Arabidopsis thaliana: one gene and its partners. The protein of the gene in region 1 interacts with the protein of each later gene in a biochemical or structural test. Each region holds a gene or a part of one and is shown on either strand. Other genes may lie near its edges.

Evidence for each region.
Region 2: the proteins of RKP (region 1) and AT2G32710 form a complex in vitro, tested with the Arabidopsis thaliana proteins (one study listed by BioGRID).
Region 3: the proteins of RKP (region 1) and ICK1 form a complex in vitro, tested with the Arabidopsis thaliana proteins (one study listed by BioGRID).

The regions. Positions count from the first base shown.
Region 1 is NC_003071.7:9,367,801-9,371,556, forward strand, and holds the start of RKP (uncharacterized protein), read right to left. Parts: upstream 1,662-3,756; 5' UTR 1,323-1,661; intron 1,144-1,322; 5' UTR 1,029-1,143; coding exon 1-1,028. UniProt on the Arabidopsis thaliana protein: E3 ubiquitin-protein ligase that promotes the ubiquitination and proteasomal degradation of KRP1 and KRP2.
Region 2 is NC_003071.7:13,871,616-13,875,371, reverse strand, and holds the start of AT2G32710 (Cyclin-dependent kinase inhibitor family protein), read right to left. Parts: upstream 2,011-3,756; 5' UTR 1,877-2,010; coding exon 1,299-1,876; intron 428-1,298; coding exon 206-427; intron 92-205; coding exon 22-91; 3' UTR 1-21. Other genes in the region: LUH (LEUNIG-like protein), read right to left, coding at 3,528-3,671. UniProt on the Arabidopsis thaliana protein: Binds and inhibits CYCD2-1/CDKA-1 complex kinase activity. May target specifically CDKA-1.
Region 3 is NC_003071.7:9,976,396-9,980,151, forward strand, and holds ICK1 (Cyclin-dependent kinase inhibitor family protein), read right to left. Parts: upstream 1,696-3,756; 5' UTR 1,527-1,695; coding exon 1,329-1,526; intron 1,236-1,328; coding exon 1,192-1,235; intron 1,074-1,191; coding exon 807-1,073; intron 692-806; coding exon 625-691; 3' UTR 195-624; downstream 1-194. Other genes in the region: AT2G23440 (uncharacterized protein), read left to right, coding at 3,087-3,335. UniProt on the Arabidopsis thaliana protein: Binds and inhibits CYCD2-1/CDKA-1 kinase complex activity. Regulates cell division which is crucial for plant growth, development and morphogenesis. Functions in turning cells from a mitotic to an endoreplicating cell cycle mode.

The DNA of each region.
Region 1 (3,756 bases):
GGGTCTTGCTCAAGTATATAAAAGAACTCATCACATATGGCAGACGAAACAGGGCAAAAGAGTTCTTCGACTGAGGCAAATCTCCTCAGTCGACTTAATGTATCAGCCAATGAGCGGTCTGGCCTATCCAGCAGTCTTGAGAAGCATCGTAGTAGCTCTGTTGCAAATGAAAATCGAGTTGGAGCTTCTTGAAGAGGTTGGAAACCGTCAACAGGGTACTTAAACGGGTAAGCGCCGAAATTTAACTCGCATCTCTCACCTTGGGAGAGAGATATAGCAGGGTAATACCCAAATCCAGGTCCAAGTTTTCTAATACCAGTAAATGCAGCCCCGAGGGAGACACCATTCCTGTAGAAGTAAATCTCATCACAGTTCAAATCTATGCAGCAACCGATGACATCCCCAGCAACCCATGATTGACCATAAGGTTCAGCTTCCTTGTTCCATTTGCTTACCCTTCGACCATCAAAAGCATATGAATCATCAGCATCACCCACACCTTTCTGGTCAGTGAAAGGGCAAGCAAGTGTTGCCCATCCAAGTTGTTGAATTCCCGAGGTCTCTAAAGCGACTTCATACATCCATTTTCCTTTCCAAATACAAGCATTAGCCCTGGCGCTACTGAAAAGTGCTAAGCTCTCCAATACAAGAGGTGGCTTCACAATCCTGATATCACCACATATGCTAAACTCTTCAAGGCCAACAATAGGAGGTCCAACACCATGATGAACTACACTGATTCCTTCTCTCTGACTAACTGAAACATCCAAATCACCATGAAGCTTCGAGAACTGATTCTTAATCACAGCTCTAATCAAGCTACTGTCTACTTGACCATCCAATGGACCAACCGACTTTTCTGCTAAACCAAATATGAATTCGATAGTCCGTTCTAAAGGCCGGTGACCAGAATAATCAAAATGTGGAACAATACGAGCTTTCGAGGAATTTTCTTTAGCATCTTCACCATTCAGTAAAACAGCCAAACCAGATGAAATCATACCAACCCGTAGGCTGTCTTCAGCCATATGGCATTGATTGTGAACCAAACGCGCTTTCAACACAACCAATTACAAGAGAACCAAAGTCTGTATCTATTCAACGAGACCTCATCAGAGACAATTCGAAAATGATTCAGAAAAGCTGTGAAGAGAAGAAGAACAAAAAAAAAAGTAGCATAAGTTTCCAAAAATCAATACTTGAATCAAAAAGCTTTCAAATTTATGTGATGAACAGGGATTAACAAAAAGAGAAAGCTATTCAATTTCAATCAATTAGAAAGAAAAAAACACCAAAATCAGAACGGAAAATTCGAAACTCACCGGAGAAATTGACATGAAAAGCGATTAACCCAGAAGCCAAAATCAATCAATACCCAGATTCTTCAAACCAAAGACGGCGGACTTGTGCTAGGGTTTTTCAAATAAATTAAACAGGAGAAGACTTTTCGCTTCTTTTTTTTTCTTCTTCTTCCTCGAAGAGAGAGAGAGAGAGAGATTTTGCGCCCAATATTTTTGGGGGAACAGAGAAGAAGAATTGAAGAAAGAGAGAGAGAGGAATCAGAAGACCGGTGGCTAACACCGAACGAGCCAATGGATCATGTGGCGTGTGGGTTTTTTACCGACACGTGTCGGTGTCGATGACGTGGCTGATGACGTATTATATCGACGGTCTGGTCTGGTAACTTTTATAGAAGGAGAAGGAGGAAAGTTTACGATGCGGACGGTCTTACGTTTATTTTGACACGTGGCGTAGTAGATGTTAACGTGTTCTTAAATCAAATTACAAAATTACAAAAAGTAAACAACGCTTTTTAATTTTTCTCCTTCTGTTTTCTTTTTTAGTGTTAACATTATGAGATTTGTTTTACTGAAGATATTTCCTGTTATTTGGATTAATCAAAAATAACAAAAAAAAAGGTGCTGTAAAACTTAGCAATTTAAAGGTAAAGTTAAAAGAATGTTAGTATCACCACTAACTAAAGAAAAAATCACAAAAATAATATGGTATTGTTTGAATATTCTTTTTTTTTTCATTTTAGTGTTAGTATTATGAGATTTTCGTGTAAAATTTTTGCTAAAAACATTGTTAAAAAAAATTAGTTTTGTTTATCGCTTTTAAATAGTTATTATTTTTAGTTTAAAAAAAAAAAATATTATTGTTTATTATCAAAGATGATTTGGTTTCGACTACCCGTGAAATTTTCGAATGTGATTACAGTTGTCGAATAGCGTATTTACTGTATTTTATTTAAGTGGATCTAAAATATGATATAATTATGATTAATCTAAAAAGAAATGTAAATTTAAGTTATATATCACTTTTGTAAATAATTTCTCTCGGAATTATTTTTTTTAAGTCCTTAATAATATCTTATGACAAAAAAAAAAATATGAATCTAGTTATCAGGTTTCCTTGGTAAAGAAAAATTTAGATGTAAGTTTCCTATTTGTAGATTCTATAATCATAACGGGTTTCACAAACAATTATAATACTGGTATCATTCGTTGACAAGAACTAATAATAATCTGGAGTTGACTTAATTAGAAAACTTTATTTGTAAATCAATTGTCAAAAGCCATTCGTATATTCTTAATACATTATGCAAATTAAAGAAGAGTGTTACTATAATGTATGCACGAAAACTATTCAAGTGGATGTAAAGACGATTGAAATCGACGGAACGTGACGGAGCAGTTGTTGACAAGTCACCGGAGCTTTTGCAAACTTCCGATAGACACACGACCTTGTCAACGACCTGAGAGTATAAATAATTGAAAATATCAACTCGATCTCTAAACACACCACGTGGAAAGCTATGAGACCACTGTCGGCTAATGACTAATAAAAGAAGTATCGTGCACGTGTTCCACGTTGATCAACAGCCACTTCACTGGCTGATGTCTCTGTTATTCAGATAGTGACTTAAGACGGCATTATATTGTCTTCAAGGGAAATATTAAAACGCTGCGTTTCCGTGTGATGGAATAATTTTGCAACCGTTGCCACTTTTACTTTTGGGAATTTGGTTGAACAGCAACTTGTTTTTTTTTTTTTGGTAAATATTTTTGGTTGAACTTGTCATTCAATGTAGCAAAACTTAGTAAAAATGCTACAAAACATAAAGATTTTCAAATGTGCCAAACCTCAGCTCTATGGACGATTTCCCTGTTCTAACTATACTAAAATGCATAGTTTTGGTGTAGTGATTAACAAAAATATGTATGGAATATAATCATGATGATAATGATAATGGTAAGATTATGCTTTTACTTTTGATTAAAAGCTAGTGATATGATTTGCCTCTTAATTTGAGTAGATGATTTTCAATGTTTGGTACTATTTTCATTGTTTTAGTGGGAAGAAAACAAAGAGATTTGGTGTTCAATGTAGCGTTAGTTAAGTAGATGAAAAGAGATACGTTGATGCTAATGATGATGTTATGATGTTTGATACTTTATATGTTTAATCATCATATTATCATTAATATGCTTTGTTTAAATGGTGATCTTTATGCTCTGTTTTGGCTTCTACTATATATATATGCTGTATTTTTCTATGGGAAAGCAAAGCATAAGTAACGACAGTTGAAGTCCAAGTAAAGTACTAGATTGTTTCATGCCCATTGTGCAAGAGCCATATTTTATTTATTAACAAAACATCCAACTGAGACTGGAGATACATAAAAGCTTGGAACATAATCCACTTTCAAGTGTTTGCTAACCACCGAGTGAGACAATGAACCAATATGTTATC
Region 2 (3,756 bases), 4.5 Mb from region 1:
CCCCCCATTTTTTTGTTGTTTCTAATCATCTACCTTCGTCCATTCAAACCGTCCTGGTAGTGGTTGTTCGTTCACAGGATCAAAGTTGTACCTGAAGAAAGAGTTGACAGAAACCATTAGAGACACAAGACCAAAAGAGAAGAACAGAACAAACTGGAAACTCATAACCAAAAGAACAGAACAGATGAAACGAGGAAACACATACTTCTCAATGAATTGCTTCTGTTGTTCTTCTTCAGCACCCGAGAAAAACTCGTCCATTTCAGGTGTAGTTGGTCGGCGACGATGGCTGCGTGACAAACTGTCTTCTCTCTGGTTGCTTTCACTTACACAAATGTTAAGCTTTGTAGACGATCCCGGGGTTGTCATGATTTCAGGCCTTCTTATCAAACTGCATGGTGTGGATTCCCTTGTGGTCCTGTTGAAGCTGAGAGTAAGTAATATGTTACTTTCATACAATGCTCTCAAGGAAAAAGCACATAACCGTGTTTCCTTAATTAGCAGCAAAAGCAAGCAAACTTTATTGCATATAGATAACTAAAACTAAGCAAGTCATGTTTAACTGAAAAAAGGACAAGGAGAAACTCCTTGTTGATTTGTGGTTCAAAGTTCACAAAGCATAAAACCAAAGAAGAAACTTCCAATGAAGATTACTTCAGCAATGCTTGAAAAGTTAATGACTCATACAATGTTCAACAAGATCACGACTTTAGACTGAAATCATAACATCAAAAAACAACCAAACAGCAAGAAAAATTAAAAGACAGAGAAACTAGAACTTAAGATGTTACAGAGACACATCATATACTTTGCAGAATCCCAAAAACGAACCAAACTTTAAAGAGTTACTTACAGAGACATTTCAAACACAAATCCAACATTCTTTACATGAAAGCAGATAAAAAGTCTGAAGAAAAAACAATAGTCACTATCACCTTCTTCAAAGTAATTGAAGAAAAAATAAAAACTTTCTCAAGAAAAAAGAAACACATTTTTGATTAATTATATATATTTTCTTTCCCGGAAACAGAGAGAAGAGTCTGGTGTTGTCAGATAAAGAAAAGATGGCATCATATCATACACATGGTAAAAATATCATTAAATTTCAAAATCGAAAACGCCAGTTTCAATTTTAACCAAATACAAGACAAAAAATTGATCCTTTTTTCAAATTAACAACGGAAATTTTCAAATCCAATACCAAAGTTTTCTCAAGAAACAGAACAAATTCACACAGATTCATAAAAATAAGAAATCCCCCAAAAAATTAGGTTGAAATTGATGAAGAAAGATGATACCTTTGAGTGTGTTCTTCTTCAAGGTCGAAGAAATTTTGGCCAAAGGTTGGATCTTTATTGATTTCAGAAATCAAATCCTTGTCTTTACCAAAGACAACACTTTCAGAAACAGAATCAGACCTAGACCCATCACCACGAATCGAATCCAAATTACTCCTAGGGTTAGGGTTTCTTCCGCATGTCTCATTCCTCCGTTGCTGTTTCCTCCGTTTAGTAGAACGAATCACAACAATTGGTGGTTTCTTCTGAAGCCGACGACTCCGTAGCTGAAGATACGAACCACAATCGTTCATCTGCTGCTGCTTCTTCTTCATCTTCTGCTTTGACGGTGGATTAGGAGAAGCAGAAGTCGGTGGTAACGAAGAAGGAGAAGAGGGTTTTTGAAGAAGACAGCGTTGTTGTTGTTGTTGAAGAGCTAGAGATTTAGCTCGAGTTAAAACACCAAGTGAAGAAGAGGAAGAAGGTGAAACAACATCCATTAAAGCAATAGAGGATTCACCTCCACCTCCGCCTCCACCTCCACCACCAGCTCCAGCTCCAGCTCCGTCGATTTTGCTCTTTCTTATGTATTTCCCCATTTTCCGTTAGCTTTTCATCAGAGAGAAAGAAAGAGAGATTGGGAGGTGTGAGAAAAATCGGAGTTAGGGTTGTGAAGATTAGTGCTCTTTGTGGGGTCTCTCTCTCTCTCTCTCTCTCTCTCTCTCTCTCTCTCTTTTTTTGTGTGTGTTATTTTTTTTTTCAGGTGGCTGCTTCTTCACTACTGTGAGTAATGTACTTTGCTATTTTTTCACTTTAGTTTTTAAAAAAAAAAAATATTTTAGAACTTGAGTGTAATAATTTCGATATTTATAAATAGAAATGATGACATATATTTTTATTTATAAATTTATTATTTTTTTCCACATTTATAAATTATATTTAAAATAAAAAAATTTGAGTTAGTTGGGTTCAAATATGTGTCACAGCGTTAGAAAAGATTGAACGGTTACACAACCTGAATTAATTCAAGGATCGTATTTTGCTCTACTTTTGTGTATTTTACTTACCTTAGGATAAAAAGTTTTAAATCTAGTTGAGGTAGAGATTGGACGAATTTGGAATGTCAACTTCTACTTCTCTACTAGGCTTATGATGTTTGACAATTTTATTTTTATTGTTTTCTGCGAATTGCTTGGATAATGTAGCATAAGATATTTAGCCTTTGTAATATTGAGAATATACTGATGAATCTAATGACTAGATTATATAAATTACAAGAGTTAGATGATTATGAAAGTTTAAGCAGTTTTGAGAATTGGGAAGGAGTAGGAGTATTTTATATCTTATAGTATTGTATAAAGGTTTGAGTAGGTATATATTATCGATTGAGAAACTAAAGATAACTTAAATTAATGATTCATTCAACCACTCAACTGTTACAAAAAATAAGTTCATGTTTAAGAAAAAAGTACATTTATTTTAGACCAAAAAAAAAAAAGTACATTTATTTTAGTTTTTCCAAGTTAGACGTGTTTGTAAATTGTAAACAAACACAAACGTAACCGTGCTTTTTACTTCTCCTTATGTTTCACATTTCCGTTTTCTATATATAATATCGAGTTTTTCTTTTTTTTTGAGTTGAAAGTTAAATTTATTCAAACCCAAAAAAACTATTTTTACAATAAATGTTACAGTGATGCTGAAACAAATAATTTTGAAAGAGAGGCAGAGTCATTCAAGAAAGATGCGGTTATATTAGAAGTTCAATAAGTAACCCAGAACAAAGACAATTTAAGCCTAAGCAGATAATAAACTCATCCTTAATCCTAAGTTTTAACGTACGAGTACTTTCAATGTGCATGCTTAGAGTTTTGTATTCATCTTAAACCAACTTAATGTATGCAGTGTCATTATAAGATATTCGTAAAGAGACCTTAAAAACAAGCGTTTGGCTGATTATAAGAAATTATTATTCAACAATGTAGTTGGTCTAGAGAAATTACTTACATCTCTCTTTCACTCTAAACACTAGAGATCAAAACAACGAAGTAAAGAAGTAGGATCATTAGACAAAGATTGGAAATATCACAAGTCTCTTTGCTTTTGACATAAACAAACCCAATTTAAAAAAAAAACCAACTTATTAATGTAACATTAAAAAAAAAAAAAAAATTAGACCCAAAAAAAGTCCTGAGCTCTCTGCTATTTCTTCTTTTTTCCTTTTCTTTTCAGACGAACATAGAAATATTTCTACTTCCAAATCTTTACGGATTTGTCATGACTTGCAGACGCAACCACTCCCGTCGAAGGCGACTGAGCCAAGGCAGAGATCACACACTCGTGGCCTGCTACCGTCATACATTTGTTCTCCATTGTGTTCCACAGCTCTATAGCCTGTCACAGATTCGTTTACCAAAGTTAAAACAACTGAGAGACACATTCACCTCATCACACATTTGAACATAAGACTAGATATTGT
Region 3 (3,756 bases), 610 kb from region 1:
GAATCATCTTGAAATTCTGATTGGTCGAGCTCAATCATATTCGGTGCTGAATATGAAACAAAAAAATTAGTTGGTGTGGTTAGCTGACATGGTTGGTACGATTTTGTTCAACAAAAAACTGCACTGAAATTGTCGATTAGTTAATTTAAGTAGTAGAACAATAATAACTAATTTCATAGTACTTTTTAATCCATATCAAACGTTGTAAGAAATAAAATTCTAAAATAATTTTAAGCGTTTAGGGCGGTAAGATAATCTACCAAAATGCATTTGATGTTTTTGGTTGAATATTATTAAAACGGAGAAGACAAAAAAATGAGTGTGGTTGTACCTGTGTGGGGATAGAATTTTATCAGTCACCAAAAACATAAAAATGTACTAAAGAATATGCTAAAAGATACACAAGATTCGAAGAAGAGGTAAAAGTAGAGCTAAAAGACACGACTTTTCTGGGCTCTAAAATCTGTTAAAAAGCTTTCTTCTTTTTCTGTGCAATTTCGTACTTCTAAAAACATTCCTCCTACAAATCTTATATTTCCAAATCAACAAAATAAAATTAACTTATTCCCTGAAATATTAAAATCTAAAAAGTTAAAAAAAAAACCATAAACTTCTTCTTCTTCTTCACTCTAACTTTACCCATTCGTAACGTCCTTCTAATGGCTTCTCCTTCTCGAAATCGAAATTGTACCTAATTAAAAAAAAATAAACTCACTCTTAATTTTACCTCAAAATCAATTTTAAATTATGAATAAAAAATATATTATCTATAAAAATCAAACTCACAAAATAAAATAAAAACTTACTTCTTCTTGAATTTTTCTTTGAGTTGTTTCTCAGCTTCCACAAAAAAATCTTCAATTTCCGATTCCGTTGGCATCTCCGTCATCAATTTCGCCTTCTCCTCCTCCTCCGCCGTCACCGTCTCCTCCATCGTTTTCCTCCCGCTACAACAACAATCTAACGATTCTTTAACCGCCGATTCAAATTCCGATGAATAATTCTCCATGGATTTACTTAATTCTTCTTTCTCCTCCTCTCTCAGATTTTCAAAAAGCTTCCTCTTCGTACCCCTAAAATAACTCACAAGCAAGATTCTAAATTTATTGAAGAGAGAGTCAAATAAATAACCGGGAAAATAATAAAACCTTCAAAATTCAAATCATTTTCAGTTTTTTTTTTAACACTCACCGTCGATACGTCGACGTTTCAGTGTCACCATCTTTATCTTCCTCCTACAAAAATTTCAAAATTTCAAAAAAAAATACATTAACATTAAATGATACATATACAGTTACAAGAATCTAGAATCAACAACATTAAATAACCTCCAGATGTATTAATTCTTTCTTCTTATATTCATTGCTTCCACTACAAGACGACGAAACTCCATTATCACCGACGACGGAGACAGAGCTTGATTTTTCCGATCTAACATAAACAATTCTCCGGCTCCGTAGCTGCATATACGTTGACGAAACTCCAGCTTCTACAATTCCTTTAGCTTTTCTATATTTTCTCACCATCTTCGATTTAGGTTACGTGTGCGTGAAGTCACAATCTCTGTGAGAGAGAGAGATATGATTGAGAGGATGAGGAAGAAGAAGAAAGAAAGATGATGAATTTGGTTTTGAACGGTCAGGATTGAGTTTTGTGCTGTGTGTGATAGAGAAATGGCGTGTTTTAGTGGTCCCGTTACAGTGACGGGGAATCTTTAACGGGGAAACTGGAGGCGCCGTTATTTGGATGTTATGGAGTTACTTATGCCGATGGTTTGTTTTATTGACACGTGTCGGTTATAAACGGTGACTTAACGGAACGGGAGGCGTAATAATTGTGGTGTAACTAACTATTTTAAAAACCCTCTCATCTATTGGTAATTCACAGATTTGCCATTACGCGAAACCGTTTAAAATGTTTTAAATTATAATTGACAAGCTTTTTGTATAGTTGGGATGAATTTTATAGTTTAGGTAAAATTAGAAAGTTCATATTACTTTAAAATGAATTGGATAGAGACTATATATAGATTATGTGTATAGTATAGGTGGATTGTTACGGATAGCCTAAAAACTACGTACCTGTGAGTAAAATAAGGTAAAAGTAAAACTGACACTAGAAATTATATTTTTGTTATCCCTGCGTATTTGCTTAGCCTGATGTCAAGTTGTCAACAGCACGTGTCGATCGTGATATATTGGGCTTAATAAGTCATAATATAGTAAAGGTTTCTAAGAACTAAACTTGGCCTCCATCACTTCCCATGGGCCTTGTCAGCCTTTCTATGTTTTGTTTTTGTCTCAAAGCATGAACAAAATGGAGTGGCGAGTGCATTCAAATTACCATGTCTTGCTTTAAAAATTAAAAATATTTTTTTTTTCACTGAAAGATAAATATATACTTCATAATTTCCAACCAAACATACAAAAAAATGTGGATCAAGGACAATCATTCTAGATCAACCAGTATTACACTAGGCATTTTTTTCTTCCTCAAAAAGTTGTTTTAACCAAAAAGAAAACCTAGTTGCTACATACGATTAACGGCGATCATTTTTTGTTACGCTCTTGGCAATAAAGTGAGCATCAAGATTAGATCTCCTTAACTCACCAAGCAATTTTCAATCCAAAAAATTCCCTAGTTTCTCAATCAAAAGAAGGGACTGAAATTTACATGAAGGTCATGCAGACGACTTTTGTTTTAATTGAATAACATAAAACTTTTACTCACTTTACAAAAAAGTATGAATCTATAACCCTAGATTTATAAAGATATTAGAAAACTTTTTATAAATCTTAAATTAATAACAAAGAACTTTAATAAACTTTTTAAAAATCTTGATTGAATAACAAACGATTTTACATAATCGTTAAAGTTCTTTTAAAATCATAAACCAATAATACCCCCTAAATATTTAATTTATCTCCTCAAGTGTTGCGCCCATGTTATGTAAAATTTCATCCCTATAAATACATCAGATGGTCCAAGAGGTTTCATGCATCAATACATAATACATTTTCGCCTTCGACTAAATATTATAATTTAGCTTCTTTTTTTTTCTAATTCTCGTCTCGGTTTTTCTAGTAATGGCGACGATTAATGTTTACGTTTTTGCATTTATCTTTCTTTTGACTATTAGTGTTGGTTCAATTGAAGGCCGAAAACTCACCAAATTCACCGTAACGACGTCTGAGGAAATCAGAGCTGGTGGCTCTGTATTGTCGTCGTCACCTCCGACTGAGCCACTTGAGTCGCCGCCGAGCCACGGGGTTGATACCTTCAGACCTACGGAACCTGGTCATAGCCCCGGTATTGGACATTCCGTACATAATTAACGGAGAGGAACAATAGCATCGTCTATGTGATTACATGTTGAAAATATGATTGGCCTGGTGACTTTTTTTTTCTGAATATGTATTTACGTACAGTTTCGTCATATTCAGTTTCTTGCAAGTGTGATTGTAATAATATTTATTTGATTAAATTAAGATTGATGTAATCCATCTTATTTTAAAAGCACATACATTTTTTTATCAGGTTCCAATTTTCTCATATATTTTTCTATCGAGATGTGTCACTCGCTTGAACTAAGAAATTTTTCTATCGAGATATGTCATTCGCTTGAACTGAATCATACGTAACTCGATCTAATCACAAACCGATTTAGGAATAGAACTATAGAAGCAATTTCGATTACTTGTTTATGTCTTCAAAATCTGTACGTAGAACGAATAACTATCTTTGAAATAATTTGGT